4 linked regions of the Caenorhabditis elegans genome follow. The protein of the gene in region 1 interacts with the protein of each later gene in a pairwise test. Each region holds a gene or a part of one and is shown on either strand. Other genes may lie near its edges. The genes, in order: tag-325, nhr-251, chtb-3 and F21H7.3.

What was found.
Region 2: the proteins of tag-325 (region 1) and nhr-251 interact in a two-hybrid assay, tested with the Caenorhabditis elegans proteins (one large-scale study listed by BioGRID).
Region 3: the proteins of tag-325 (region 1) and chtb-3 interact in a two-hybrid assay, tested with the Caenorhabditis elegans proteins (one large-scale study listed by BioGRID).
Region 4: the proteins of tag-325 (region 1) and F21H7.3 interact in a two-hybrid assay, tested with the Caenorhabditis elegans proteins (one large-scale study listed by BioGRID).

The regions. Positions count from the first base shown.
Region 1 is NC_003281.10:4,794,237-4,803,510, forward strand, and holds tag-325 (WW domain-containing protein tag-325), read left to right. Parts: upstream 1-2,602; 5' UTR 2,603-2,674; coding exon 2,675-2,770; intron 2,771-2,822; coding exon 2,823-2,971; intron 2,972-3,332; coding exon 3,333-3,507; intron 3,508-3,579; coding exon 3,580-3,998; intron 3,999-4,394; coding exon 4,395-4,869; intron 4,870-5,333; coding exon 5,334-5,549; intron 5,550-6,318; coding exon 6,319-6,428; intron 6,429-6,512; coding exon 6,513-6,691; intron 6,692-6,886; coding exon 6,887-7,013; intron 7,014-7,492; coding exon 7,493-7,674; intron 7,675-7,727; coding exon 7,728-7,981; intron 7,982-8,199; coding exon 8,200-8,340; 3' UTR 8,341-8,671; downstream 8,672-9,274. Other genes in the region: mip-1 (HTH OST-type domain-containing protein), read left to right, coding at 1-185, 233-337, 388-638, 838-1,044; rRNA N(6)-adenosine-methyltransferase metl-5, read left to right, coding at 8,771-8,870.
Region 2 is NC_003283.11:598,107-603,903, forward strand, and holds nhr-251 (Nuclear Hormone Receptor family), read left to right. Parts: upstream 1-2,424; 5' UTR 2,425-2,488; coding exon 2,489-2,576; intron 2,577-2,621; coding exon 2,622-2,687; intron 2,688-2,746; coding exon 2,747-2,830; intron 2,831-2,877; coding exon 2,878-3,107; intron 3,108-3,519; coding exon 3,520-3,746; intron 3,747-3,792; coding exon 3,793-3,994; intron 3,995-4,046; coding exon 4,047-4,121; intron 4,122-4,169; coding exon 4,170-4,229; 3' UTR 4,230-4,363; downstream 4,364-5,797. Other genes in the region: srlf-37 (SXP/RAL-2 family protein Ani s 5-like cation-binding domain-containing protein), read right to left, coding at 5,559-5,797.
Region 3 is NC_003284.9:6,312,782-6,321,950, reverse strand, and holds chtb-3 (EB domain-containing protein), read left to right. Parts: upstream 1-2,304; 5' UTR 2,305-2,397; coding exon 2,398-2,461; intron 2,462-3,189; coding exon 3,190-3,418; intron 3,419-3,912; coding exon 3,913-3,971; intron 3,972-4,019; coding exon 4,020-4,309; intron 4,310-4,364; coding exon 4,365-4,428; intron 4,429-4,475; coding exon 4,476-4,532; intron 4,533-4,587; coding exon 4,588-4,662; intron 4,663-5,002; coding exon 5,003-5,250; intron 5,251-5,305; coding exon 5,306-5,959; intron 5,960-6,076; coding exon 6,077-6,185; intron 6,186-6,231; coding exon 6,232-6,342; intron 6,343-6,389; coding exon 6,390-6,797; intron 6,798-6,844; coding exon 6,845-6,953; intron 6,954-6,998; coding exon 6,999-7,144; intron 7,145-7,190; coding exon 7,191-7,318; 3' UTR 7,319-7,422; downstream 7,423-9,169. Other genes in the region: npr-38 (G-protein coupled receptors family 1 profile domain-containing protein), read right to left, coding at 8,254-8,320, 8,505-8,606, 8,653-8,769, 8,878-8,994, 9,047-9,168.
Region 4 is NC_003283.11:16,231,010-16,237,707, reverse strand, and holds F21H7.3 (Serpentine Receptor, class E (Epsilon)), read left to right. Parts: upstream 1-2,537; 5' UTR 2,538-2,582; intron 2,583-2,641; 5' UTR 2,642-2,772; intron 2,773-2,809; exon of another isoform or gene 2,810-2,846; coding exon of another isoform or gene 2,847-3,027; intron 3,028-3,070; coding exon of another isoform or gene 3,071-3,381; intron 3,382-3,427; coding exon of another isoform or gene 3,428-3,784; intron 3,785-4,367; 5' UTR 4,368-4,452; coding exon 4,453-4,751; intron 4,752-4,799; coding exon 4,800-5,013; 3' UTR 5,014-5,057; downstream 5,058-6,698. Other genes in the region: F21H7.5 (Major sperm protein), read right to left, coding at 10-93; srh-98 (Serpentine Receptor, class H), read left to right, coding at 1,961-2,405, 2,473-2,537; clec-233 (C-type lectin domain-containing protein), read right to left, coding at 2,847-3,027, 3,071-3,381, 3,428-3,784; gst-22 (glutathione transferase), read left to right, coding at 5,437-5,596, 6,124-6,620.

The sequences.
Region 1 (9,274 bases):
CTGGTTCACAAATTTTGGAGCTGCGTTAAAGAAATCAATGCCACCTGCTCCTGAAAAGAAGAAACCAACGACACTGCATGAGCCCACTTCAAGTGTCGCATCATCGAGCTTACCGATTTCACAAGGATTTCGGTATCAAATACCAGTTGTTCGTCCGATAGTGTCTGTCGCAGAAAGTATGAAAGGTATTTACATTTGAAAATAATTAGTAGATTGTAATATTTTATTTTAGGACTCACAGTGAGTGCCCGTAGCGTAATGGGAACTCCAAAAGATCTTCCTGGTGTGTCTAACCCGATTAAAAACACAGCTCGGGGAAGTAATAAGCCTCGAAATGGTAAATCCAGAAGTTTCCATTAAAAAAAACTAATAATTTTTATTCATCAGATCTGGCATCTTCGAAAGCGAGTAAGGATCTTGTTGTTCCTGTGATGAAAACTACGTGTATCAAATCACTTGAAGATACTTCTACCAGTAGTTCGAATCCTTCAACATTGCAATTATCTACTGCCTCTACCTCTGCAACAGATCAGAAACTGCCAAAAATGAGCTTTGGAAGACAGATAGAAAAAGGATCGTCGATTCCAGGGAGACATATATCTCTTGCTCTCACGGAAATTAAAAACCAAAAAGTTATTGTGAGTAATTTTCTTGCTAGATTCCATTAATTATAATATACCAAGTGCGGTATCGTTCCGTTTTCGGATCAAGACTAGCTTTTTGTTGTTTTATTGCTAAAATACTGCAATTTTTATGTTCATTAAAACAAAAACAATATTTTTAACTATGCTAGAAAATACCATGCCGACTGTGATGAATAAGCTAAATGAATTTCAGGCGGCTTCTATTGTTGGAAAGAGTGCCAAAACTTCTACAAAAGTGCCATCCACGACTAGAAGTGTAGTTCTCCCACCAATGTCAAAAGGACCAGGATTGGCACGTTCTCGTAACTTTTCACCACAACAATCGACTACATCTTCAATTGATAATGAGTGTCTAGAAGCTATCAATGCTGCGTTGCCGTCGGATAAGGATAGTTGGTGATCGAAATTTTACGTGCTTTAAAATATCCTGTTTATGTGTTTTTGTAAAATTATTTTTTAATTAGTTTTAATAGTAACATTGTTTTTTTTATATTTTGGATGCGAGTCATTCACGAATTTTACTATAAATTTTTTTTCCGGTGCATTCTATTCTTGTTTCGCATAATTAAGAAAAATGTGTTCTGAAACATGAAAAAATATTTGTTAGCTTAAATAGCGTGACCCCTTTAGATGCAAAATTGTAGAGTAGCTGTGAGAGCTCTTCCGACGGGCCACTCAAATAATTGAAAGCGAAATGCAGTTTCTCTTTTTCTCTTCCCCAATGCATTCAGTTTCCTATTTCTCTGCCATGTCAAGATTGGCATCAAACGATGTTCGAATATGGGGGAAAACTGGGGCGGTCGGCTTGTGCACACAGACAGACCCATAAAACATGAATTTATTATTCTACGCGCACGCAAAACGTGGCACTATAGAGACTAAGAAACTGCAGGAAATTCGTTTTGAAGATGAGATAACATCAACGAACGGTGTAAAACATAGAGACAAAAAGTGCTCTGGATAACGACGCGCTATATAAGATTGACCCTTAAGGGTAAAAGAATTCTTATCCAAAAATGTTCTCCAATATTGATTTTTAAGAGAATATTATATTTCTATGCTGTCTAGTGAATAGTTTTTCAATTTGGCACATTATTTAGTAAAATATGTTGAAATAATGAAACTATTTATTAAAACAAATTTTTGAAGTCTAAAAAGAGCCTTTTCACTAGCTAAACCAGTAAATACCTCTAGTCACGGCACTATCAGGTTTGTACAATGACTGTATTTCTTTAAATCGATTGTCGTCTGTTCGTGTGTCTGTATCTCCAATATTTAGCCCCAAGACACTGTCTCTAACCTCCCGAATGAGTGAGAGAACACACGGCGAGTTTTTTCTGTATCACTGTCTGCGTATCTTACTCTTCCATTCTGTGTTCTCTTTTCTCCAGTCGGGACAAGGGAAATACGACGGCCGGATGAGTCATCCCGTGTGTGCCTCCTTGTGATGGTTTTTTTGGTGCTTTTCTGTTGGAATTGTACAAAATTTTAAATTAAAACTGATTTATAAATAATTTCAGCTAATTTTGAAATTGGACAGCTGAAATGAAACAAAAAATCGGAAATTTTGCTTATCAATTCCGTTGGTTGATTAAAATATGTTTCATTTTAAAAATATTTCGTAAGATATTCTTATGGGTATAAAGTTACGAAATGTTCAGAAAGTCACGGAAATTCGAGAGAATCGATTCAAGTGGAAAGAAATGTATCAAGTTTCTTAGATATTTAGAATACTTAATTGTTGTCTTCTTCTCTTTTCGAACATTATTTAATTATCTTAACAACCTAATTATAATTTTTGTTTTCCCATTTCCGGATCAATCTGCTTTATTAAATATTTCGGTTTTGTTCTATAAACACTGTAAAAACAAAGTCAATGGTCACATGATCTTTCTCTTCTTTTCCTCTCCTTACCATGCTCTCCCTCTCCGAATATTTTAGCAATTCGTCCTTTTTGCAGTTCGTTATCATTCTCTTCAATGCCTCTCCGGTGGTGTTAAAAGTGATTTATTATCGATTTTGTTCGTCGGATGATGACCACCGCTGTTCAGCCGTCAGATACAACTGGATTCGGCGGAGGACCCGCTGGATCAAGAGCTTCGGATCTTATTCAGTTCCAAGAAATTGTTAGTTTTTCTCTCTCATCGAACGCGAGAAAAATAATTTTATTCATTACAGATGTCCGAATCGGCCGAATCCTCTTCGTCATCTAGTCAAACGAATGTTAGCGCCGCGAACACATTGCCACGTGAAAGTAATGGACAGAATTACGCTGACGATCCATCACATGTGTATACAAATATCAGAGAAATCGAAGAATTAAACAGGTACGGGAAATATCTGAAATGATTCAGGTTTAGTTATAATGTTTTGAAAAATTGGAATTAGTGTGCAAATCGTGGGTGAAGCATTTGAAAAAGAGGTCAAAAATGGTTTGAAACTTGCCAATCTCTGAAAAATTAAGTTCGATAATTGGTAAATGACAATTTCAGACTATGTTTAAGCACTTTTTCAAATTCTTTCGTCAAATTGAATTCTTATTTTCAATTATATCTATTATTTTTCCATATTTTCTCACTAATATTTATGAAAAAATGTTGGAACAACACCTGGAGCATTTTTTTAATCACTGATGATTATTTAATTTTCATTTTTGATTCTAAAATCATCATAAAACATTTTTAAAAGCTTCAGCCGACCGGTTCCACCGACTCCGCGAGCCGACGCGCAGCCCCGTAGAGATCTTCTAAATGGTTGGTTTGAATACGAGACCGACGTCGGACGGACATTTTTCTTCAATAAAGAAACTGGAAAAAGTCAATGGATTCCACCGAGGTTTATCAGAACACCCGCACAAGTTCAGGTATTATTTTTTACTTTTAAAAAATTAAAATCTGGTAAGATGTTATAATTTCATTCAGTTTTCAATTTTCAGGAATTTCTTCGTGCAACAAGAACGAATCTAGATACTACATGCAGTTTTCAAGGATCCTCGACATCTTCATCAGAAGAACAAAAAGAGAACAAAATGCGTGAATCTTTAGCTGATGACGACAGAAAAAGTCAATTGATAGAAGATGAAGAAGTGTTTGATGAAGTTTGCGATGACGTGGATGAACAATCATCACCTGTAATTGATCTTCAATCACGGCCTCTTCCAATTCCATTCTCTGACAGTTTTACGGATGATGAAGATGAAGATGATGTGAAACCTATAGAAGGATCCATAGCTTCAGATTCCGATTTTGACGAAGAACCTGTTCCAACATCATCAAGAAAAGCTTCTACAGCATCCGGAGTAATGATGCCACATCCCTATGCACATGTTTCTTCGTTTCAATCAACGTTTCCAAGGTTGGTTTTACAAAATTTGTAATAGTGGAGCAAAACGAAAAAAAAATCATTAAGTTTGAAACATGGCTAACTTTAGTGAATTTTCAGTTGTGCCTCATTTGAATTACCGCGCCTCGAAACTCCGCTAATTTTTCCGTTTTTCACTTCGATTTTCTCGACTGGTTCAGACAAAAATAATATTTTAGGCGAAACGTAACTGCCATTATAGGCATAAAACCTTCCTTTTCACTTGAAAATTCAAGGAAAATGAAGAACTTGCGGCAGTATTGAGAACTACAGATGCAAAAAAAGTTATCGGCATTTGAGATCAACCTGAGTATTTTTGAGTGAAATTCCCATCGACGCTACCCCTAAATTCAATAATGTTATATCCTATCACTAAAGTTACATTTTTAGGGCCAAAAATGAAGACACTGACAAATTGGCTTCGTATGTGATTCCCCCAGATGCCAATGAAACATCAAAAACTCCCACCGCAATCCGTGTCCGTCGTCCATCTCCGACGAACCTAAGATCGGTCTCATTTCAGAACAAATGTACAGTTCTAAAAAATGTTCCAATGCCACAAGTGCTGCCGACAACCTCATCAAGTTTCGATCACCATCCGCAATATCACTCTAATACGCCGGATCGGCCGATCCTTATGGAAGATTCTGCCGATTTTACACCATCATCACGATGTGAAGAACGTCGAGGTAGTGGTGATGGACGTGAACCTGTTCGAACGATTCGATGCGGTGATTTGGAAAGAAGTGAAAATGATGAACCAGCAGAGAAAGTTGTAAAGCCAAAAAAACGTGAATGGATCACGAACTACATGTATTTAACAACGGCTCATCTCATTTTGTATAAAGACCAAAAAAGTGCAGAGGTAGTTTTTTTTATGTTGTTGATAATTAACGCAGAAAAAAAGATTTAAGAAATTTTAACAAAATGTGCAGAGATGATGTATTATTGTCTGCTTTTTGGAAGTTTTTCTGAAAATGATCTGAAAATGTTTCATCCACCTCGGTCAAAAAATTGCACTCTTCTTCAGAAACTAAAAATTTCAAAAAGCTTCCGAAATGTTTGCTTATCTCTAAACAGCTTAAAAATGATCCGAAGTTTGCAAAAATCCACTTTTGGAACAACTCGACTGATCATAAAAGTAGTTGAAAAGTTTGTTGATAAAGTTCAGATGGTTCGAGTGGAGTTTTTGCAGCTTAAATATTTATATACATATATATCAGCTCAGCCTAAACATAATGTTTCAAATTGAAGTGCCATATTTTGTATATATTTATTTCCTTTCCTTGTCAGTAGATCAACCAATACCAAATAGTTGTCAACTTTCAGAAACACGGAAAACATTATGATGCTCCACAAGGAGTATGGGATTTACGAGGAGCAAGTGTGACATGGTATCAAGACAATCGGGATGTACAAAAGAAGAAACAACGGAAATATATTCAATTAGAGCTGTGTAACACGAAGAAATACCTGTTACGAGGTCCCAATGACACGGAAGCCGTCGAATGGTACAAGTCACTGGAAGAAGTTGTCGCAAAGCTTGTAAGATTTCTTTATTTGAAAATTATCCAGAAAATAGACAAAAAAAATCAAGTGTTTTTGTTTCATTTTTCTTTTTCTCCCGCCCTTGGCAGGTACAATTAAGAGATTATTCGGCTATAAGCTACTTTGCCAAGTTGTTTCCAACTTTCTCAAGACTGTAGAAATAAGAATTCACGGCCGAAGTTTTTCTCCGTCTATTATTGCAAAGTTTTTACTTGTTGTGTATTCTCAAAAAAGTACCATGTGGCATACTGCTTGCTCCAGAGTCCGAATGTTGAGCCTGCAACGGTCAAATAGTGAGGTGATTCATGGGAGAAAATTCTGAAAATCCTATTAAGCTGGATTTTCGCTTGAAAAATATCTAACCCGGTCTCAACACGACCGAAAATGCTGAAATGAAACAGTGTGTGCGCCTTTGATAATTACAGTAGTCCCGCTATTTTACCATTTTCCTGCCTTTTCGTCTAAAACCTTTTTTTCCTTTTTTTTTTGTGACACTAATCAAAAAATATTGAAATTATAAAAAATCTATCTAGGAAAATTAAATAAATCTTGCTGTTTTTCAATTTTCTTCGACTTATCTTTTTTTTTTTAATTGTGCATACAATTTCACACAATAAAAGGTTTTTTGAGAAAAACGAGAAAAATGGACTATTGTACTTCTTAAAGGCGCACAACTTTTTTCATTTAAACCTATTCGATCGCGTCGAGACCGTATACTGTTTTTTGCATCCGATTATAGATTTCAAGACTATGTATATCGTTTCAGCCGTCTCCTGGCTCTTCAAACCAACCGATGATTGATGTAACAAATGGCGTTGCTCGTAATCCGTCATACATTGGCAGCACGCGTCCACTTTCCCATGCATTAATTCCAATGTGAGTTTTTTTTTCAAAAAAAAAAAAATTGAATTCAAAATTCTGAGAGAACCATGTCTTATTGAAAATGTTTTGTTTTTTAAGAAGCCGAAGTATGCGACGACGTGATGATCCAATGTCACAATCTGCAATTGAAACGGTATCGACAAGTGTATCAACTGATGAACCAAGACCATCAAAAGAGACGATCATTGAGAAGTTGAGAAGATTCTTCCGAACACGCCCTACAGTGGAAAGTCTTAAAGAGAAGGGAATATATAAACGTAAGATTGGAAATATATGCAAACCAGCCGTGGACCGCACCTACGGCGCGGCCCCCGACTTTTTTTTTTGAGAAAATACAATTATCATAAGGTTTCCCAAATTTCCGTTGCTCTGTCAAAAATCAAACTACATAGTGACGGAACGACACGCGCTTTATATATAGTAAATTGATATTGAAATAAGAATCATTTCAGCTGAACCAGTATTCGGATCAACTCTTTCTGCAATCTGTCAACATGAAAACTCGTTGGTACCGAAGTTTATTAGAGTTATCACTGAAGTTATTGAGAGTAAAGGATTGGAGACAGATGGAATTTATCGGTTAGTTTATGAAATTGGAAAAAAATTACATGAAGTGTCGCCATTTTGTGAAAAAATGACCAAATGCCATAACAAAACACATCTAAAAATTTATTTACTATCAAAAGGGGTAGACCTAATAATTTTTTCCGAAAAACATTACCCAGATGCGAACTGTTTGCGTTGAAAAAACTTTTCCCGGTCTCGACACGATTTTTTAAAATTTAAATGATTGTGTGCCTTTAAAAAGTACTGTAATTTCCAACTCACAGTTGCTGCGGTTTTTCGATTAAAATTTATTTATTTGTATTCAAAAAAATTATGAAAAATCAACATCAAAATTACTGTATTTTTTAAAGGCACACTTTAAAAATTATAGTTTTGGAATATCTTTAAAAAATTTGAACTGTTACGAGAGTATTCTCTAACTGTATTTTCAGTTTTTTAAAGGATGACTACCAAATAAAAATAGCATTGAAACTTGAAATTTCTTATTTCAGAGTGAGTGGAAACCTGTCCGCAGTCCAAAAAATTCGATGTCAAGCTGATCAAGACAATTATAAAGCTCTTGTGTCTGAAGAAGATATTCATGTTCTTACTGGTGCTCTTAAACTCTTTTTCCGAGAGCTAACCGATCCACTTTTCCCAATTTCTCTTCATAAGGAATACACATCAGCTATGCGTAAGTTTTTTTTTTGAAGTTTTAAAATGTCCTAAACCAATTTTCTATTCCAGAAATGCCCAACGCGACCACTCGTTTCAAAAAATTCGAAGAACTTCTAAGTCGACTTCCAAACGAGAATCGTGAAACATTGAAAATGTTACTTCGTCATTTGAATCGTGTAGCCTCGCATTCATCACAAAATCGAATGCAACAACATAATCTTGCTATTGTTTTTGGTCCAACACTATTCCATAATGGTGATGGAGCCGTGAATTTGGCAACCAAAAATAAGAAAGCTGGAAAGAAGGCGAAACCTTCGAAAAAGGTTTGTAAAACTTCATTTATTGAGAATGGAGTGAAAAATCTTTAAAAAATTGATATAACATATCATTAAACAAATTTTGAAATTTTTTACAGTTATAATTGGTCATTACCGTTCATTTTCTATATTCACCAAATTATTTGTAATTTAAGTTATTGAAAATTGAGTCAAAACTCAAAAACCAACTGATATTCCTTGTTTAAAATACTTATAATTTCCAGGAAGAAACTCAAGCAACTCCTGTCCAATCGAATTCTCATCTCGCCTTCTCAATGATTATGCAATCCCAAATTGTTCAATATCTTCTCGAATCGGCCAACAAATTTGATATTCTCAAAGCTCCAGTCAATATTGGACGATAATCTATAGATTTTTCAAATTTTCCAAAAGAGTTGTGACCTTATTTCTCACCGTTTCACTTTGGGTGTTTTATCGCCGAAAAATGGGTATTACTTTTATCGTTTTCTCTTATTTTCTTTCTACTTTTTTTTCCTTGACTTTCGGGATTTGATCAATTAATGTTGTAAATATGTACTGTAATATTCATTTTCCTCAACACATTTTCAGTATGCTAGTCTTTTTTTTTCATCCGTTTACTTATTACAGTCTTCTCCTTTTACGCTTTATTCTTTTTTTATGTTGTATTTTCAATCTTCCTACGCTCAAACAAGATGAATAAATTGTGATAATTGTAAACGAGCGCGGACGATAAAAACTCAAAGTTTAGCTCTTTTTGGCATATTTTTTTGGAATTGAAGAAAAGGAAAATACGAAACACTAAAATTTTGAAAGATGCCGGATAAAAAGACACTTTGGATGCTCAATGAGCTCGAAGGATTCGAAAAACCAAAAATCAAATTGGAGCAGTATGCCACGTCATCAGAGCTTGCCGGTAATTTTTTCCTAAAAACTGCATATTAATTGTGGAATAATTTCCTCAAATGTGCTCTGAGAAAATTGAAAAAATACCGAAATTTACCAAAAATTGAAATTTTCCAAAAAAGAATTTAAAAGAAAAAACTTGAAAGCCTAAATCAGAGAAAACAGTCTCAATAATAAAACTTTTAAAGTTTAAAAATTGTTTTAAACAATTTTTGGTTTATTTTTTTCAGAGAATAATACCATTTTTCGAAAAAATGCAATCTGTTTTCAAAAATCCTTCATAATATGACTTCTTCAATCGAAAAAAACTTTCAAATCTTTTTTTGCAAAATCACAAATTGAAAAATTAAGTAATTTTTCACAGTTATATTCGGTTTGTTACTATTATCCATTTTCTGTAATTTAAAATAAAAA
Region 2 (5,797 bases), on another chromosome or scaffold:
CATATTTAATTTTTTCTTTAAATCTGAATGATTTCGCGCAATTGTGACAAGTGCTATGTATGTATCTCAATGAATAATGGAAAATATTTACCAATTTTCCTTTAAACAAACAAAACAAATGCACAACATGAATTTTAAATTTCAAACAATGGAGACAATGGAAACAATGGTTTTGATAAAACAAATATCAACTGATTATATTGATTTTTGCCTTGAATAATTTTTTAAAGATCACTTCTAAAAGACATACGTGATTTTCTCTGAGAATGTTCATTGAGGAGGGCCCTCGGTGATTTTTATCTCGACCGTACTATTCGTATTTTGTGTTAGTTTCTTTAAGAATAGTGTACTAGGGACTGGACGGCATTGTATTTTCAAAGATGGGAAAGGACGGTTACCGTATTCTCACTTGAAAAGATAGTGCTGGAGCGTTGTAGAATTACAGTAGTGACTTGAGCTCAGTGGTTAGATAAAGTCGGGGTATGGTAGTAGTACTGTAGGTGTACTATACATTTAGAAAAATTACTCTTTGCTTTTTGAACGACCAGCAGATGGGGTTAGGAGGGACTATGTAGAGTACTGTAGGAGTGTTGTAGGGTTACTGTAGCAGTATTGTAAAGGTACTATAAATGTATTTATGATGTACTTCAGGAATTCTGTAGAGTTACTGTTGGAGTACTGCAAGGGTAATGTAGATGTACTTTTAACATATTTTCGGTGTACTGTAGAAGGACTGTAGGGGTACTGTAGGATTACTGAAAGTCTTAGAAAAAGTTGGGGCTGTCGTTTTTTTGTTCTTTTGGTTTTATTTTTTTGGTTTTTTTGACCAAGAAATATACTGCTCTTCAAAAATGTTATGTGTAGTCGGTATAATGAAAAAGTGGTTTTTTTTTCTGTTTGAATATGAAACAAAAAATTGTTTTTTTTGCTTTTCGGCGGGGATACAGTGTCAAGGCTAGTGATAACGAAAAGATAATGTGTGCTAAACTCAAAAACTGAGCAAAATTGATCGTTCCAGACTGGAACTTCCAGTGTACAAAGGTCTAGGGATGTTTGGGTAGCATGCCTGCTTATCAATTTTGACAAAAACCTACAAATACTGACTACCTACGCCTCTTGTCAAAAACTTACGTGGTGTTTGTTTTTTAGTACATACAAGAGCCTTATCTAAAATTTATATATTTAAATTTGACATATGTAAAGCAATGAGAAATAGGTACGTAGGCAGCCATGATAATTGTGCATGCCTGTTACGATGTCCCTAGAAGCCTAAAAGGTGACAAGAAAGTCAAAAGACCAGAACGGGCCTTAAAAAATTAGGACAGCTCCTCACAAACTTTTTCCTCACGAAGAAGGTCGTTGGAAGTGATGTTTCAATACACACTAACACGAAAAGATCATATCAGTAAGTGAAAAAGGCGGTTTCTTCTATGTAATTAACTATTCAAACACTGAAGTATTTTTGCGTCAAAAAGTCTAATTTCGAATAGTTATCAGTATCATTAATAATTTTACGGCTGAAAACCTGTAGATCATAACGTTTTAATTCATATAAAATTTTCCGACAGCACTTTTGAAAAGCGTGATTTTGCCGAGAATCATCAAGGACGTGAAGGATCTATCGAAGGATCAAGGCAAAAGGTGAGTGAAGTAGGGCGAAAAATGGGGGGAGTTCCGAAATTCCGGTGTGAGATTTTGAGTCTCGATGAGTTGTAGATAAGAACGTACCTATAAAGAACCGAAGCATCGCACGCAACTTAGTCTATTTTCATTTTGCATTTTGAAATCCTATCGTATTCAATTTCAATTTCATCGCAATGAATCGTAAAGGAGGTTTGTTTTCAATTTTCCCGGAATTTTCCGATTTAGCTTCCAATTCAGTTCTTTGTCGGGGTACTGTAGTGGTATAGTAGCTGTGCTGTAAGGTTACTGTAGTAGACTGTAGGGACACTGAAGAAGTACTGTATTACTGTAGTTTTAAAGAAATGATATTTGCCATTTGAGTGGATACTAAAAAGTTGGAGCTAGTGGATCAACTCGGCATTTGGCTTTAGCTTCTTGCTTAAGGTTGGCCCAAAAATATTAACTTGGATCTGAAGTTAGCTAAACTTGGGCAAAACTTGGATTCAGGCTACATCACAGTTTAACCCAAGTTTCACCCAACTCTTGCCAAACAAGTTTGAGCCAAAGTTAGGCAAGCGTTGGTGGAAATTTGAATTAACTTTGATGTAGCCTGAATCCAAGTTTTGCCAAAGTCTTGCTTAACCTTTGCCCAAGTTTACCAATCTTATGATCCAAGTTAATAATTTTTGGGCCAAACTTTGGCCGAGAATAGCTTCGGGGTATTGTAATGGTACTCAAACTGAAACGGTAGAAGTACTGTAGGTGTACTGTCCTTTTAGAAACAATTACCTGATAGCTTTCAGATCCATGCCTAGTCTGTGGAACAACTCAACGAACCAGCTAACATTTTGGCACCACTTCTTGCATGGCATGTGCTTCGTTCTTCCGAAGAACCGTCTCATTCGGAATTCGCTTTTTGTGCAAAGAAGGAAATCGTTGTCCAATTTCGCAAGGTAAGCTTTAAGATCTTACATATCTGGTTATGACTTCAGTTTTAGAAATTCGCTTCTTCTGCCGCTCATGCCGATATGACAAATGCATCAGTGTTGGAATGAATAGAGGACGTGAGTTACTTTTATTTCTCTCGATATCTCATGTTTTATTCGAAAATTTAATTTTCTAGAAGTACAACAAAAACGGGACGATAATAATGTGCCGAAATATGTTTTGGACTCTAGAAGGCTAGGAATTCAGGAGATTGTTAGAGGTGAGCATTTTGAGGGGTACTGTAGAAAATTATTCGGTCTGTTTCAGGATACACTACTTCAAGAACTGTCCCTTCTGAGCCTGCTGAACCAATCAGTCCTGGCTCCACCGGTTCAACCGGATCTACAAGATCATCTTCTCCAGAAACATCTCCAGCTGAACCATCAAAGAAATCTGAATTCAGTATCATTCTGAACACTTATCCTGACGATTTACTACAGTATTATGTAAAGCAGGTGGAAATGTCAATGATTCACAAACAACTAGGGTTATTGAAGGTTAGTTTTGAAAAAAAATTCTCCAAAATTTTTAGCAAGCTCTAATTTTTTTGAAACGTTTTATCTCAAAAATTTGTTCTATGAAATTATTTTTTTTGATCGGCGACTTCCAGAAAATTGGTGAAAACTGAGATTTTACCAATTTTTAACTCGAAAAAAATTCAAATTTTTTCCGTTCCTTTTGTAATAGAAATTGGCGGCAATCGAACATTTTTTCCAATTTAAATATCATTTAAAAATTTGTTTTTTTTCACAAATTTTGAGAAAAAAAACGAATTTCTAAATTGGTTATTTATTTTTTAGAGTCCAGGGCTAAATTCAAATAAAAATTTCAGTTATTTTAAATAGCCCTCCGATTGTGATTTTTTTTTTGGAAAATCTTTTGTAAAATTTTAGGGATTTTTTTTTCCAGAACACCCTTTTAGTAAAATCTGTCGACGAACTAGTTGATATATCTGAAACACTGAATGACTTATCAATGGAAGCATGCATGAATTGCCCAGGCGTTGATATTTTGAGACAGCGAGATGTTGAAGTCATTCTCAAATCGTTTCATTTTGCAAATGTTTGGATGGACTCCATTTGGGCGTATTCTAGGCACAACGAGTCTATTGTGAATAAGTTTTTTGAAAATAATGGGTTTGTGAAATTCTTTGAAAATTAAGACTATCATCAGGAGTTTCAGACCATTATCCATGTTCATTAATCAAATAAAATCCACTCTCGGCTCTTCACTTTCTCAATTAACGTTTAATATTTACGAGTTTTCGGCTCTAAAAGCTTTCTGCGTCTGGAAACTTAGCTACCATGACTCAACGATATCAATTAACATTATGGCAGAAGAGCAATATATTGGAATTTGCTCAGCGCTACGAAAGCATTATGAGGTACTTTGGATCCCTATGCCTTATTTTTTAAAGAATTTCCTAACATTTTCAGGCAACTACAAACATGACCGACGTAGATATTGCAATGAGAATTGCTGAAATCACATTGCAAATTGTGCCAGCTACGGTAAATTTACAACATTTAAACTAAAAATAATATTTGTTTCTTTTTCAGACGATTTACCAGGACATGATACGTTTCTATCAACAGAATGGACTCATCGATAATCTTTGAAATTTTTATATATTTTTCTCTGAAAAATGATTGATCTCAAACTAATTTTAGAAGATATTATTTTCAAATACTATGTATTTTATGATCATTATTCTATTAAAGATATTTCAAAACATTAAAAAAATACTAATAAAACTTCTTTTTCACCTTTCTCATTCGAACACGATCGGCTGAACAGATCATTTTGTAAAATTGCTCCCGCTTCTCGCCCGGAAGTCAATTCTTACAAGGTTGCCGGACAGGCATTGTGGTTCGGGGGCACATACTATACAAGTTTAGCTCATCACTTTTAAGGAAAGCCGTGAATCTACAAGTATCGAGAAAAATTCCAAAAAAAAAAGTGGAATTTATTTCATATTGGTCCATCACCGTTTTCAACCACCTACAAGAAGTTTTTTGATTTTATTGAAAATAGTTTTAGACAATTTTGAAACGTCATAACTTGGCCAAACCTTTTCTTCAACAGCAAAATTTTTTGGAGTGCTCACTGTAACAATAACATTTCTACAGTAACCCATATCTGCAAAATGATTATAAAATTAATATATGCTTTAATGCACAATACTTGGTTTTGCATTTACCATACGAAGCTCGAAATTATAAACAAATTTTGATAAAACTTTGTTACTTTATTTTTGATTTTTGTTTTCTGAACATATATGTACACCGTTTAACATTAGAAATTGGAAAACTACCGATGACGGAAATATCCTTTAGAAGACCATGTAAAATTTTTATCAACATTTTGGGAGTTGGATGAAAATGAACCCGATGTTTGCTTTATTTCGAAATGAAAATGTTGAAAAATTTTCATTCATAATACTATGTAGTGTTTACAAGTAAATTTTAAAAAAACTTCTAAGTCTATCTAAATTATTTTATTTCTGTTAGAAGATTTCCCAATACACTATGTACATACATATACTACCAATTTTGAAAACACCTCGTCTGAAAATATTTCATTTTACCCTTTTTCGGACTTTGAACCACCATAATTTTTTTGAGAAATTTTTGAGAAGGCTCATTATCAAATTTGTTCTTTTAAGGTCATTTCAAGCTTTCTCAAGCGAAATTTAAAATTCGGTGCTCTCAGCGGTGGGCAGAAATCTAAACATAGAGTTTAAATTACACAACAATTAGACATTATGAAAGGTTTTTCGTTGACAACTTGACGCTAGAGAATTTAGACAGAATTTGAGGCTAGCTCTAGTGGTATTTTGTGAATATGTCCCCATATTTTGTTCTTTGGTCTGTGCAAGTTTGCATAATCAGAAAAAATGTATAACGTATTTATTCGATTGAATTGCCCAATAAAAACAACTTAAATTTTCAATTATTGTTTCTCGCCTGTCTCATGGACATTTTTCTAATATAGAACAGAACTGGTACTTCTTGTGGATATTGATTAGTAAGAGATTGAAGAGCTTGCTGCTGCTGTTCTCCAGTTTGATTGTCATTATTCAAAATTGATTCTAGTTGGTTTTGAACTGAAGACAACTGGGAAATAATTTGAGAAGTATTCTGATTCATTCGCTGTTCTTGTTGATCACGTTGTTGGGTGTAGTCGG
Region 3 (9,169 bases), on another chromosome or scaffold:
TTATAATTTTTTTGCAGATCAACTTATGATTTTAGGATATCTTATGGCGGTGATAAGCTGGTGGGTAACAAAACACAATTATCAAATTTGCATTTAATAATTTTCTTCCTTTCTAAGTTTAAGTCTTTACACTACTCAATTTCAATAAGAATTTCAAATAGAATTAATATCGTCCATCGCGGCACATATGTGATGTTATCTTGAAGCACTTTAATGCATTCTTGTTTTTTTTTTGATGTGTAGAAATGACACGATAGGAACTACCGTTTCAGTCCCCGCTAGTAAAGGAAGCTCCGTGAAATTACCTTCTACTATTTCTACGACACAACAACTTCCTATTTCCTTGTTTCTTGTTTTCAAGGTAAGCGATTTTATCAATTAGAGAGATATGCTTTTCCGGCAAGCGTTTTGCGACCTTGGCGCTGACCCTGGAAAAAGGAAAAAGGGAAAAAAAAAACGGCGCCGTCTTGCTCTGAGATTGACATCTAAATGACCAAAGTTAGAAGTTTCCAAAGTTGCAATGATACATAGAATTATAGACTCTAGTTAAAGCTTGATCTTCGATCAGTAAAACTTCAGCCATCCGTAGATGTAACAGAATAAAAACGGTCTTCAGTTTTTTTAATTGGCCGACTATGTCAATGACGCAACAAATCGCAGCTTATCGCCGATAAGAAAGATATATTGAGGAACACCACGTACATATTGCGGACACTTTCTCCTCATCAGCTTCCACAGTTGTTCTTCCTTTCGAGGTTCGTTCTGAACCCTCATCATCAGCCTTAGTATCTCAGCCGCTCCTTCATTAGGTCTACACTTGCCATCACCCACACCGATAGCTGCCCTTGAAAAAACCGGCGTCACCTCAAACCTTGTCTGCGACTCATTATCTTCATCATCTTTTCTCGCTTCAACCCAAGCCCCGGAGGACCGCTTTCTTCTGTTTTTTACATGCGCTGGGAAAGAGAGAAATGAGAAAAAACCCTATCTGTTCGGTTTTTTTCTGTTTCACTTCCTCGAGGAAGTCATTAAAAAATGCCACCAAGGTGGTAGGGATAAATGAAAAAAAAAGAAGCGTAAATAAGGAAATTTGGGTTTTTCGTCGACATTTCAAACATTATCAAAACACCTGTCAGCTATAATTGTATTAATTCCCAAATAAATCGAAATTAGCAAGTCGCCGTAAATGTCGTATTTGGAACGGTATTAAACATTTAATAAGTGACGTAATCTGCTTGTTCCAATCAGCATCAAGAGGAAAAAGTCTACAAAAAACCTTCATCTCACTATGGGAATTAGAACAGTGAAAATTACAAAAATGTCGTGGTATATCATCTGGGAAAAAAGTTTTTTCGGGTAAAACTATCTGCATGAAATGATCAAAAAACACTTGAAAATCCGACAAACACAATAGATCAAGTGGTTGAGAGATGTGCTCCAGCATCGTGTCTATCCGGAAAATCAAAAACGTGCCCTTTCAGTGTTTTCCGCCAGGGCCGTCATAGCAAAGAAGATTATGGCGGCAACATGATGGTCTGAATTGTGCTATTCTTTCATTTGGGTACAATTGTTTTTTGTGCGTTGTGCGTCTATGAAATTGAAACAAAGTGGAAATGAAATGAATGTGCCAAGGAAAAAAGGAATTAAAGAAAGTATTGAAAAGTTGAAAGTTAATCTGCAAAATAAATAATATATGTAGTGCCGAATTTGGAAAATCACATATTTTTTGGCCATACTGAAAAATTGCGATTATTAAGTATGCCGAAACTGATTTTGAACTCAGTGTCTGAGCAACTTTTGTAACTTTTCAATTAAAAGTAATGACATACTAAAAATGTAAAAAAAACACATGTAGTAGCCATATTCCTAAAAAGTTGTTTTATTAAAAAACAAGTATGACCGCTTTACAGTGTGAATTTCGGAAATAGTAAGTTTTTAACCTGTGTTGAACAAGCCTTAAAACATATCTTTATTCTAAAAAAGTTCATAAATTTTTGGATTTGCAGAACCTCAATGGCTCATTCCTTATTACCAGAACCTCCCTTTGCACTCAAATCGGGTTAATGTCGTCATTCATAAATGAATCAAGTAAAACTGTTTGCAGATTCGACATGACTCATACTCCTGTAAATTGTCTAATTTTCACCAACTCCTCATATTTTGCCATGATATTTCCGCATCGCGAGGGGGTCTTCCATGTGCGTCGGCAGAGCGTCTCTGCGGAAACTGGTCTAATGCTCGACGAGCCGATGCCGCCTCATATAAACGGACGTGCTGCGATATACAGTCTCCGGAAATCTAACATAGCGAGTCAAGAAATCCAGACAGTTTGTCTCTATTCATTCCATATTTTAAATTATATATTTTATACTAATTTATTCATAATTTATATATGAGATGGAGTTATATATTTCTATGTTACCATTTTTAACTATTTTGTTACTGCCACACCCTTCACAAGGTAAATTTTTTCGTGATATTTTGATTAATAGTATCAAATCACTGTATCAAATCATATTTATCTAGACACATTGTGTCAAAAGAAGTCAAATAGCATTCTGTTATTATTATATGATTTAAAACACAGATGAGATATTAAACTATAAAATTTTGATAATCTTAAATACCTTAATTGGAGCATATTTCTTTCCTTTAAGTTGAATCTGGACACGAAATTTGTCATTCAAAAAGAGCAGATTTCTCAACAAACAAAAAAGAGTTCGAATTTCTTGATTTCCACCGCGCGGACGGAAAGAAAAAACAAACGAAAACGTTTCAAGTACTTTTTCTCGTCTTTGTAGTCTCCTTCTAGCCTCTCATCATAAAGTTATTCAGGTCAATTACGAGCAAAATTGATTCATGATTTTCAATTAAAGATGAATCCCATCAAACTTCCGCGTTCCAGTTTATCTAGTTCAAGGGCGACAAATAGTAGTAGTACGCACAAAAAACCGTTTCTGTGGTGGCTATCACTTGCAAGATCGGTATCATGTCATTTCTGATTTTAAATCCCAAGGCATTCAAGAACATACTCAAGGTCGGATTCGCTTAGTGGCATCTAGAGGTTCAAAGAACCAAACCCTAAGACAGAAAAATGAGTAAAAGGACAGTGACAAGTGAAACATCACTATAAACTAAAAAACTTATAAACTTAACTTCGAATCGGGCACTCAAATATTTAAATTTTAGGGATCGAAAACTCTCCGTCCGCTGGAAAGGTGTGCATGACAGTTGAACATCTAAGACCTGCGGATAACTCGACACAATTTTACGAGTGTGCGCCACTCAATGAGGATGAAGTAAAAGGATACGCGCTGAGCAAGAAATACCTGGGTGTCTGGAACCTACGAGACTGTCCCAAGGAACACGAGTTTGACGAGCCGAAACAACGATGTATCGAGAAGAAGACATTCAGAAGGTGAGTTTTGAAGAAGGAGTAGGAAACATTTTGTAGATAATTTTACGTAGAGAAAAAATCTGAATTTTTTAGAGTTTCAGCGATTCCCCCAAACTTAATATTCTTTTTTCAAAAGTGGAGTAGGGCCAGTGGTGGTGAAATTGTGAAAAAAAAACTGAGTGGTGAAATTGTGAAAATGTGGTGTACAAATTACCAAATATCACAGTGAAACTGTTTACATAATTTGAAAAAATTATCTATTGACAGTTAAAAGGTGCATACAATGATTGAATATCAGTATGTATATGAAACATAAAGAAACCATTAAATTCAAAAGAAATAACTTTCTAATAGACGATTTCTAAAAAAAGTATCAAAAACTGATTACCACTTTCTGAAACAATATAAAGAATTTCTCATTTTGGCACCAAAAGAGTGGTTTTTAACAATTTCCCCACTGTCGCAGTTTTATATTTAAGTAAACTTCTTCAGAACTCAGAGTAAATATTTTTTAGGCAACAAGTCGCTTGCGCACAAAATGTTCAGGCATCCGGATGTGTCTCTGCTTGTCAAGGTATTTCAAAAATTGATTGAACAGAGTCAAAAAGTCTTCTTTATTCAGCCCCAACCGCAGTTGCTAACCAGGGTATGGAATGTAATTGGCGTTCGTCCCCACTTCAACAAGATCCTGCAAGCAACGCATACTTCTTCCAGTGCGTCCCATCCTCGCCTACTGAAGGATGTGGAGAATGGACACGTATGCAATGCTCCCAATCGACAGTTTTTAATTCTGATTTGAATGTTTGTGTACCACTTGCCATCCAGAACTCATGTGATAGTTCCACCCAACAGCCTGTTTGTAGCTGTTCTCAAGTTTCCAGCTCTTGCCCAGGAACTTCCCAATGTCAAAACGTAGGTTTTGATGTATATTAGGAATTAAAAAACAAATTTTAAAATTTTATTACAGAAAGTTTGTTGCCAACAAACGGATACTCTAAACTTGAACAATTTGATTCAACATCAAGCTCCCCGTAAGTTGAAAGATTGGAAAAATACCTATTTCTTGATCATTTTACAGTCTGCCCCGGTTCAAATGTGCCACCACTTGGTTCATGCAACGAGCAGTGTCCGCAGTGTGAGAAAAAAAAGCTAACAACTAAAACTTCTAAAAAACAATGTAAACATTTCAGACTCTGCTTGTACCCCAGGATTGGGATGCTGCCCAGTTCCAGTGAATGAGCAACCAACAGGAATGATTAAAATTAGTAAGTAAATATAAAAATATTGCTGCGAGCACTATTGACTGTGCACATTGTACACTTTGCGGACCTTGCGGACTTCACTGTCCTGCAAATATAAAAAATTGTATCGATTTCTGGGACTGTATGTTGTATACATTATGTGATACGGTTTCTTGCAATTTCAAATAAATTTCTGTAACCGTGCCCAAAAAATAAGTTTTCCATTTATTTTTATTAAAAATGGTAATTTGATCAAAACATGAGGTTACGTTGCTTAGCCTAAAGTTGTAAAAGAGATCACGGTATTTTTCATCAGTTACAATTTTTTGAATCTTGGGCATCTTTTTCATACGATTTTTTCCAGCTCTCTGCCCTGGCTCTTACTCCCCACCGTTTGGAGTTTGTGGATCTTGCCCATCTGGAACACAATGCAACCAACAACTTCAAATGTGTTGTCCTCTACAACAACAACCATCCACAGATATTGTCTACAATGTTGTACTTCTTTGTCCTGACGGAACACCATCGACAACTTCTTGCTCCAAAGGATGTGGGCCAAACAATGCTTGTTTCCAGGGAGCTTGTTGCCCGATTCGTTGCCCAGTTGGACAGGTGGGCAATTTCTTATTTAAATAAGAAAGTACAAAAGTCAAATATTAAATTTTAGAACGCTGTGGGATTCTGCTCTTCTGGATCTTGCGGAGTTGGAAGTTGTTACTCCAAAACAACATGTTGTCAAGAGCCAATTAAACTCCCGGTGTGCTCGAACGGCATGATTTCTCAAAAACGTTGCCTGGTCGCAGCCGAATGTGGCCTGAACCTTGAGTGTTCAAACGGTGGGTGCTGTCCAATACCGTTCTGTCCAAATGGAGTAACAGCCCGTGGCCGATGTTCTCAAGTGAACGGATGTCCAATGGGGCAAGCTTGTATGGAAGGTCTTTGCTGTCCACTGCCAAAATGCTCCAATGGTATAACATCTCTCGGAATTTGCACAAGAACCTTGGATTGTGGTCGAATCGGTGTTGACTGTAACAACGGAGCATGCTGCCCACTACCAACTTGCCCGAACAATATTGCATCGTCACAAAGATGTTCGGGTGGATGTACGAACTGTTGTCCAGTAGGACAGACATGTATGAACGGTGGTTGCTGCGATCTTCCGTCGTGTCCATCTGGTGGATTTGCAATTTCAATGTGCACTGGGAAATGTGGAACTGGCTTTGAATGTGTGAACAGCGGTTGTTGTTCTCTTCCAAGATGCCCAAGTGGTCTAATGTCGGTTCAGAGGTGTGCAATGGGAATCGGGTGCCCACCAGGAAATGTAAGTTTTGGGTTCAGTTAGTTTATTACGCAGCTTTCAATTTTTTTTACTACTGACGTTCAAAATTTGATAACTACAAAGCACGACTCGACAATCAAACAAACAAATTTTTTGTAGCAATGCGAAAATGGTGTTTGCTGTCCAATGCCAATGTGCTCCAGCGGAAGTATTGCGTCGTCTGTTTGCGGAATGGCTAACTCTTGTCCGATAGGTTACATTTGCGAAGGTTGTTTTTTCTTACTGAAAAAATTAAACAAACATGTTTCTTGCAGGCCGCGGATGCTGCTTGGAGCCACTTCCTTTGTGTCCAAATGGAGGAAGAGCTTCAATGAGATGCTATCGGGGAGCAGAATGCCCACCAGGTTATGGATGCACTCCACTAGGTACTTAAAATGAATTCAAAGAAATTAATCTGAGCATATACTTACAGGAGGTTGTTGTCTTCTCTCAATGGAACCAGTGTGTCCAACCAGATCCAACGCAGTTTGCCAATGCTCACCCAACAATGTTTGTCCGTCAGGCGCGAGCTGTACTATGGGCACGTGTTGTTCGAGCGGAATAAGCCCTATTGTCTCGTTCAGTGTTCCTGGCACAAGTTGCCAGAATTCGAACCAGTGTAATGGATTCCAAAGCACGTGCGCACAATGTGTTCAAGAAGTTTGTTCATGTGTCAATGGGGCAGCGTCGAATGGAGCAACGTGTGAACAAATGGCACCGACAGTTTTGACGTTGGCAAGAAACGGATGTGATCAATATGGTTCTCCATGCAAATTCCTTTTGTCGACAGCACGACGACGCCCACTTTTTGCACCGATTGGCAATATGACTGAAACTCCACGTAAGAATAGTTATACGAGTATATTTTCAAAAGTTCAAAAATTACAGTGTTCTTCAACGTGGCATCCAAAAGAAAATGTGTCGCCAACATTCAAAATTTTGATGCCGACTCAACATGTCTTCCAAACGAAAAATGTATTGACGGAGAATGCAGGATGTAATGCTCTTTAGGAAGGCAATATTTATATGGTTTTTTTTTCAGGAAACTGTGGCCTGGAGAATACGGTTGCCAAACCGACATTGAATGCCAGTCTAGATGCCCGAACACCTACTGCGAAAAGAAGAAGAGTGATAAAAATGTTCCACAATGCCAATGCACGAATGGAATGCTTCTCTATGGAAGATGCTGTTAGTTTCTAAGAACCTGGAAGTTAATGTCTAATTTCTGTTTCAGTCTCCCAGTGTCCACGAGGATTCCACGAGTCTGGAGCATTCTGTATGCACGACGATGAAGACAAATTTTGGATGGATGCTGAATCCCAAGATAATCTGAAAGCTCTTTTAAATGCTGGCAAATGTTGATCTCATGAAACGCCAAAAGCTCCGCTATAAATGTATATATGGACTTATATGAAAATGTATTGATGTTTAATTAATATTAACATGAAATAAAAATATTTATCCGCAATATTATTGTTTTCAAACCTCATATGACACCTGAAAAAAAAACAAAAAAGTCCTAGACCTGGATGCCAGCACAGTAGAGTATACCTACATTTTATTAAATGTTTATTATAATAAATCAACTTTAAAATACGTCTTAAAGATGAAACATGAAACATAGCGGGTAATGCCGGTTTCATCAGTCTGACGCATTTTGGCTTCAAGACGTCAAAGTTAATTTTGAATAGACTTTGACTCTCAAGAAAATCTGAAATCTCTTTTCATTGCTCGTAAACGTTCGTCTCATGAAAACGTAAGTGCTCCGTTATAATTGTGATTATGGAACTGTACAAAAAAGTTTTATTTTTATTTTTTTAAGAAAACAATTAAATGGAAATATAACTTATCAGCAATATGATGTGGTCTTACAAAATAAAACCAAATGGAAAGAAAAGAGAATTAAACATTCGGATACAGTTCAACATCAAAGGTATGTAAAATTTTTAAAAATCCGTATGAACAAAAATATGAAACCAGTTGAAAGAGTGAAAAAGATCGTGTTTCTATATTGAGATAACTATGTCTTAAGTATAGTTTTAGATTTCACGTTCTGTGAAATGTCGGTGAAGTTTAATATTCTATTTAGTTTTAACAATTGAACAAAACGTTAATATATTTGATCATTTAAAAAATCTCAAATCTAATACTATTCCTAAACAAAAGGTGTTGGGAAAATAGTTGTCACACATCTCGCAGTTAACTGATATGTTTAGATCCAATTAAAACAATTTCCGGCCTAATTTCTTAAAGTCTAATGCATTTTTTGAGAAAATGACATAAATGGAACGCCGCATTCAATCGTGAGAACAGTTGTTACTTGAATCGCCAATGATGTTCAGAGGGAGGGATCTGAATCTGAACCTTTGAAATGCTTTAGTGAGATGCTCTTAGAAACAAAGGACCTTACGATAGATGCATGACACGGAGACATGAAATACAAAGAGATGATAGACAAAAACGAACGCTGTGAGGCACGATAATGCAATTGTGAAACACCCTACTGTCATATTCACACTGTGCCTTACATCTACCGATTTTCACTTACCTTGTTCTCGGCTGATTTGCACTATCTTTTCCACTGATTCCATCTTTGTATTTGCACGACAGAAAGCACAACTTCTTTTTCATTTCTTTGCGAAAATGTTTACTGCAACAAAAATAAAATTGAATACCTAGAATACTCTACTCCTTACCTGCTCATGCAAAAAAGTATGAAATTTGCAACTTTGGAGCATGTGACAACGGTTGTGGAAACTTGAACACTTGTGTACATCCATCTTGTTGAGTAAAGAACGTTATGAAACAGGTTGCTGAAATTAGTATACTTTTCTTGTGCTTTTTCAAAAACTTCTAGAAATTAAATTGAAATAATTGCTGTTTTTACTTCCTGAGATCAAAAAATTAAAACAAAAACTTACATGTAAACATATAGGCATGCAGATGGAATATGTGAAACAATGTAGCATGTGACAATTGCTATGACCGTATAAGTTACATGACGTTCGGCTTTGTTCACATGGCGATTCCAAACACCACTGAAAATTGCAAAATTGAATAATACAAATTATGAGTCACTAAGTTTTGCACCTGTTAGAAGAATGATGTCGCACTACTTCCGATCGATCGGTTACGTTGGATAAAAGTGGAGCAGGGACGTCATCGGATCTTGTCGAGTTTCTTGCACTTCTTGTTCGAGCCGGAAAGAAGTGC
Region 4 (6,698 bases), on another chromosome or scaffold:
AACACTTACCGCTTGACGATCCTTGCTGGAGCACATGGCAAGCACGGTGCTAGTAGCCGAGGCGGTGGCAATCACAGAAACCAGTGAGATCATCGTTTAGATCTTTCGATTCCAGCTGGTACTTCTTTATCCGTCGAAAAACTCCAATTTATGGAGACAAGTATTGAATACTGATTTTGAAAACTGTGATTGGGGGGGAGGGGGCGCTGATAAGATCAGTTCAACCTTTGAAGTTTTGTCACGTTTTGAAATTTAAATCGATTTTGTTTTTAAGTTTTCTTCACAAATGTTTTCTTAAGTTCACGTGTATGAAAATTTTTAAATTTTTAAAAATTTTGGCGGGAATTAAAATTAAAATTTTGTTTTTGAATACAAAAATTTAATTTAATTTTTTTTCAAGTTTTGCTGTGAAATTTGCATTTTGATATTTCAGAAATGTTTTTTGCAGCGAAATTTTAGGCTTTCAAAAAATTTTATAATCCAAAATTAAAATTTTCAAAATTCAACGTCACATTTTACGAGAAAAGTCTCGAAATTCAAGATTAAAATTTCTTTAAATTAGGGTTTAAATATTTCATAAAATCGGAAATCAAAGTTTAATGACATCAAAAAATATTTGCGGGAAATGTTGAATTTTAATTTTCATAAAACATTTGTGTGTAGCTTAATTTGTTTTTCTAATCTTTTCAAAAAATCGTGTTCGTTTTAAAAATTTTACTAAGAGGTACGCTTTTACAGGACGTGTGGTTCGAGAAGTGCAATTAATTCAGTGATATTTAAAAAAAAATTATTTGAACGTCACATTATAAATAAATAATATTAACTTTTCGTGTACATAGGCCATTTAGACCAAACGATAATTCGTTTTTGTGTTTAGACTTTCCTTATTTACGTTGCATTAATTTTTCCCATGCTATTTTTTCCTCGGAATGGAACAACAACTCTAATAAGACTATTGCACTTTTGTTATGCTCAGGAAACCAATATATCACTCAGCTTCCAAAAGTTATTCTTGTTTTCACATATGATTTTGGAAACAGTAGAAGAATATTATCAATTGCAATATCCAAAGTGCAACACTACAAAAAGTTTTCTGGCTTCTTGGAAAAGAGTTGCGTATCCTCCTCAAATATTTCAAATTGTTGCGTTTCCCCTTCAAATTATTTCTTTTTACGCAATTTTGTATGAAACCCCAAAAAGTATGAATAGCACCAAACATTTGTTGATAAACCATATTGCAAGTGCTCTATTTGATTTTATATTCTGTACGCTTTCAACTACTTATGTGATTCTTCCAATGCTCGGATTTTTTGGAGTTGGTGTTTTCAGTTGGATGGGGATTCCATATTCGGTTCAATTGGCTTTTATTGTTATTACAGCGTTGTGTAAATAAAATAGCAAAACTCAAAAAAAATCGAATTCTCACGTTCGTCTTAAAAAAAAGCTATTTGGCAGCGCCCGACAGCTTCCGGGTCATATTGCTTTCTGCAAGAAGGCGCTGTTGATTCTTGAGCCAGCTAGATGTCGGGCGCTAGAAATTCTACATGTGTTAAACAGAAAAGCTTGATGTATGTACATTTATTTTTAAAATCGTAAAATATTCATCACAGTATTTTCTTGAAAAAATGTTTTTTTTGGTTACCAAAACCAAGTAAAGATTTTGGTTCGCCAGTTAACTGGTTGTAATAGCTTTCTAATTATTTTGTGGAATTCGATTTAATTTTTCCATATTTTCTTAGTTTACTAGTATCGAATGTTAATTTCAGGCGTTGCAAGTTCGTATGTGTATCTTCTGGAAGGCCGGAGCCACAGCCTTCTCCAAAATAAATTCAGAATTCAAAGCACTAAAAGGAGAATAATTTATCACTTTTTAATTTTTCTCTCCAATGGTATTTCGCTAACATTATTTCTAATCAATGTTCCAAGTAACCAGAAAACAGCCAAACGTGAAGCTCTGACTATGTATCCTTGCCCCACGGAAGAGTTTTTCATATTCCCGATCTACATTTTGATATCCAATACAAATAATCTACACTTGGTTATTTACGTCTATATACCTTTTTTTGCTCTCAACACACTGGCTCATTTTTTATTTCATATCTGGTGCACTGTGTACTACCTTTATATAGCACCTCCGAAATCCGTTTCCATGGCTACTCAACTTTATCAAAGAAATTTCCTTGTTGGCACTTTGCTCCAAATTTTTACACTGTTCTCATTCATGACGCTTCCTGTGATTCTTGTCGCAGTTTCTTTATATTTGAACCGATATTCTCAAGAATTGATGAACGTTGCAGTGGATTGTATTGCATTGCACGGAATTGTAGAATGTATTGTGATACTATCGGTTCACAAACATTATCGAAATGCCATGAAATTAATGATCAATCGGTGGTATAACCAACGTAAGAACTTTTTTCAAAATGAAATTTCGAAGCAGTTTAAATTATCATCAACTGCAACTTTTTTCAGCGTGTAACACTAAAGTCCAATCAATCCCAGTGCAGGTTACTTCCGGGTATACATCACGCTGTTGAATGCGACGGCGCAATCCGCAAAGCGTCGGCTGCAGTAAATAGAGAGTGAGGAAGTTGTACATGCGTACTGTACACTTTTCTTTGTAGAAGATTTAATTTTTTAGTAATTGTGAAGGAATGAATATGTACGTTATATAACGCATGTGTAGTCTGAAATTGATATTTGAACAACGGAACTTTTAAACCCGTCTGTTCCGTTTGCAGCCGACATCGAACAAGTTTTGCGAGAGACCAGGTATACTCTACTAACTTAGACAATTACAACAAAAAAATACGAAAGTTTGAATAATTTATTGGCATGCTTAACGTTTAACGTGATACACCCCTCTTTCCACATACGTACATTCTTGTAAATGGGTATGCTTGTGCGCCACACTGGTACTTGTCTAAATCTCCATTGGTGAAATAGTTTTTCCATACAGCGTAATCATTTGGCCCCACCACCCAGTTTGGTTGCATAATAAATTGTTGAATACAGATCGTGGGCCCTCTAATTTGTTCTATGAAACTTAATTCTGAAACGTTTTACTTACGGCCAATTCAGGTTATCAGGTTCGTCACGTCCCCATTTGAATCCTCCATTGCCAGTTGTGTCCCCATCGGTCCAGGTGTAAGTTGCATATGGTTCACAGCTTGCAACTTTACAATTCGGGGTGTTAGTTGCTCCGAGCCAAAGCCCGGCAATTTGGCCGCCAGCTGCGGTGAGCTTCTTCAATGCTTCAGAGGCAACTGTCATACGCTCATTGTCATTTTGGAATCCGGTTAGAGTAGCTCCCGACGCAGAACAAGCAGCTTGAGCCTGTGGCTGAGAGAAATACCCATTTGTTACTCCACTATGAACAACCTGAAAACATGTATGTCATCTTTAGTAAATGAAGCCAAAAACTAACATTAATACACCAAACACCATTAGGTCTTTCAAAACGAAGCCATCCTTCATCGCACTCAGGTCTTGGTGGGGGTCTTGGTGGTCTATGTGGTCTATGTGGTGGTCTATGGGGCCTGTGTGGCGGTCTATGATGGCCATGCTCTTCGGACGATGAGCTAGACGAAGACGAAGAGTGGGAGTAATAGCCTCCCCCACCTCCACCACCTCGCCCTCCACCGTCAATAAAAATTGCAAGCGTAGAAGTTGCAAAAAGGAGGAATAGAATAGCAACCCTCATTTTTCTGACTTTCCGGCGCAGAAACTCTTGCTTTTTGTAGGAAACAGGCGGTTGGTAATAAAAAATATAATAAAACGGCATCACCAAACCGGGATTGTAAAAAAACAGAAAATTGTGGTTAACATATTTGAGTTTAGTTTGCATCTTACAATTAAAATGTTTTTCAAAATAATTTTGCAGTGAACTTGAAGAAGAAAATTAATTACAGTTTAAAACCATTAGGTCTCTTGAACTCAAGCCATCTACTTTCACTAGAGCGGGGGTCTTAGAGCCTTTTTCTATGTCGATGTTCTTCTGAGCTGTCTCCAGATTTCACAGGATTTTTGTGCCGAAGGAGAAAGGTAAAACAGTTAATACTTTAAAACAAAATGTTAACTCTTGGAGTGTTGTATTCACATTTGAACTATATTGAATGTATTTCTCACGGTATATAGGATGTTGGTGACTCGAAATGAAGAAAGCGCGGGCAGATATGTAAGTCTCAGAACATTGACATGGGTTAGAATAAGTTACAAATCCTGATAGTTTAATCCCGTAGGTCAATGCCAGTACACTTAACATACATTATTCATCTCTTACTTTAGTGTAATCTGTGACTAAAATTTGGTTTCTCTTCTTTTCTCTCTCTCTCTTTCTCACTCATTCAAAAGTTCCGCGAACACAGGGACTGAGGAAGTGATTGATACCACTCTATTTGATAACAATTTGACACAACTAATTCAACCTATTTTCAACTTTTCTCTTCGACCATGACACACCATATTTGTTACTTGGTAATTTTGAACTTATTCTTCCTTATTATTCCAATATGGTTCCTATCAATCGGCTTTAAAAACCAAGGAAAATGTGAGAACCCGCTTCTTCCATTATGGCTTATTTTTGTTGGTATTTTAATTATTATTGATAGAATTATTTATTGGAAAATTCTATTCAATAAAGTGAAGAAACTCATGGAGGATGTTCCGCAAGATGGAAGAAAGAAAAACTGGTTCGAAAATTTTTGGTGGATATCAATAAAATATGCGTTGGAAGGAGTCATGTTAATAGCGTAATTGATTTCAAATTTACAAATGTCTAAAAACTAGAAAAGTTTCAGGGTTGCCCTTGGAGCTATTTGGAGCTATGAACAACTCGGCCGACCGATTTATTTATGCAAATCTTCTGTTCTTTTCTCGGTTTCCGGATTTTGTATTATTGCTTCCATAACTTATATAGTCTCCTTGATAGGGACTATTTATATATTTTGCATGAATTGTAAAGCAAAGTTTGATAGAAAAGTTACAATGTGGTTGTATAGTTATATTCTATAATTTAACATATTGTATAATTTGAAAATGCATCTGTTTTGCCGACATGACATTGTTTTTACAAGCAATTAAAAATAACACTTAATTTTTAACAAAAACAAAAGGAATAGTTTTTTTTGTTCAATCACAGCTCTCGTTTTCTGCTAAAAATCCATAAAAAAATTTCTGAAGATCGTACAGACAGTATCACCCATTAGTACAGTCTTCATATGTAAACCAATAAAATATAATAAAATCATGATTTCATTTAATAGAGGTATGAATCATGCAATGATTTCTTAATATTCACATAATACCTCCACATTTTGAACTGTCTCTGCAGTTTTTTGCGATAAGGGGAAAAGTTGCAATCGCGATAAGAGTCATCGATAAAGGTTGGTAAAGGTATAAATTCTTTATTGATTCAACTAACTTCACAAATAAAATATGCCCTCTTACAAACTGACTTACTTTGATGCTTGTGGGTTTGGAGAGTCAGCACGAATGTTATTCCATCTTGGTGGGGTACCATATGAGGATGTTCGACTGCCGACGATCAATGCTGTTCCGGGATTTCAAAGTGACGAATTTTCAGCGTTGAAAGACAGTGAGTCAAACTAATAGCCCACTGAGCATAGTCCACCTTTAAAGAAACATGAGCCCTTCCACTTTTCGGCGGAAAATTCATATTCAATCAGAAAAAAGTTTTGCTAGGAAAGGTTTGGAAAGTTGTGGAAAAACCGATAAATTTTTGTGATTTTCTCGATTTTTCTGAACATTTCGGGAAACTTCTTGAAAACTTAAAATAATTTTAGAATCATCTGGATATTTATGGAGTTTTCAAGAAACTCCTAGAAATTTTTGAAATTTCATGAGACTTCTTGACACTTTCTGAAAACTTCTGGATAGTCATGCAATTTTTGATTTCAAGGAGATGTCATGGTAATTCTGGAATAAAAACATTTGGAAATTTGAGGAAATTTTTGGAACCTTCAGACAATTTTTGATGACTTCAAGAAGCTTCCAGGAAACTCAAGAAACTTTTTGAAATTTAAAAATAACTTTTGACAATTTGACAATTTTAGCTGAAAGAATTTTGCTAACCAGACAATCAAAAAATTACATTGTTTTCAGAGACCCCATTTGGCCGATTCACAGTTCTTTCCATCGACGGTTTTGATCTTGCTCAATCTTCTGCAATTCATCGTTATCTGGCTAGAAAGTTTGGCTACGCTGGAAAAACACCGGAAGACGAGGCTTTTGCTGATTCTATCGTTGATCAGTTTAATGAGTACTACGCGTCACTCCATCCCTACCGTGATGCCGTGAAAACTGGAAAAACAATGGAAGAAGTGAAGCAAATTCATGACAAAGTTTACATTCCAGCAAAAAACTTAATGTTCAAAATATTGACTCGAATTCTTAAAGAGAACAAATCGGGTTTCCTTGTTGGAGATGGATTGACTTGGGCAGATCTGGTGGTGGCTGATCATTTGTATACTCTGACGAATCTCAAGGAACTTGATCCAGAAGATCCAATTCATTTAACTTTGAGAAAATTCCAGGAGAAAATATTTAATCTTACCGAGTTGAAAGATTACATCGAGACAAGACCAGTGACGCTTGTGTGAATTGTTTTTTTTGTGAAAGAAAAAATAATGATGCAATAAAATAGTTTTAAAAATTTATTTGCGTTCTGTATATTTATT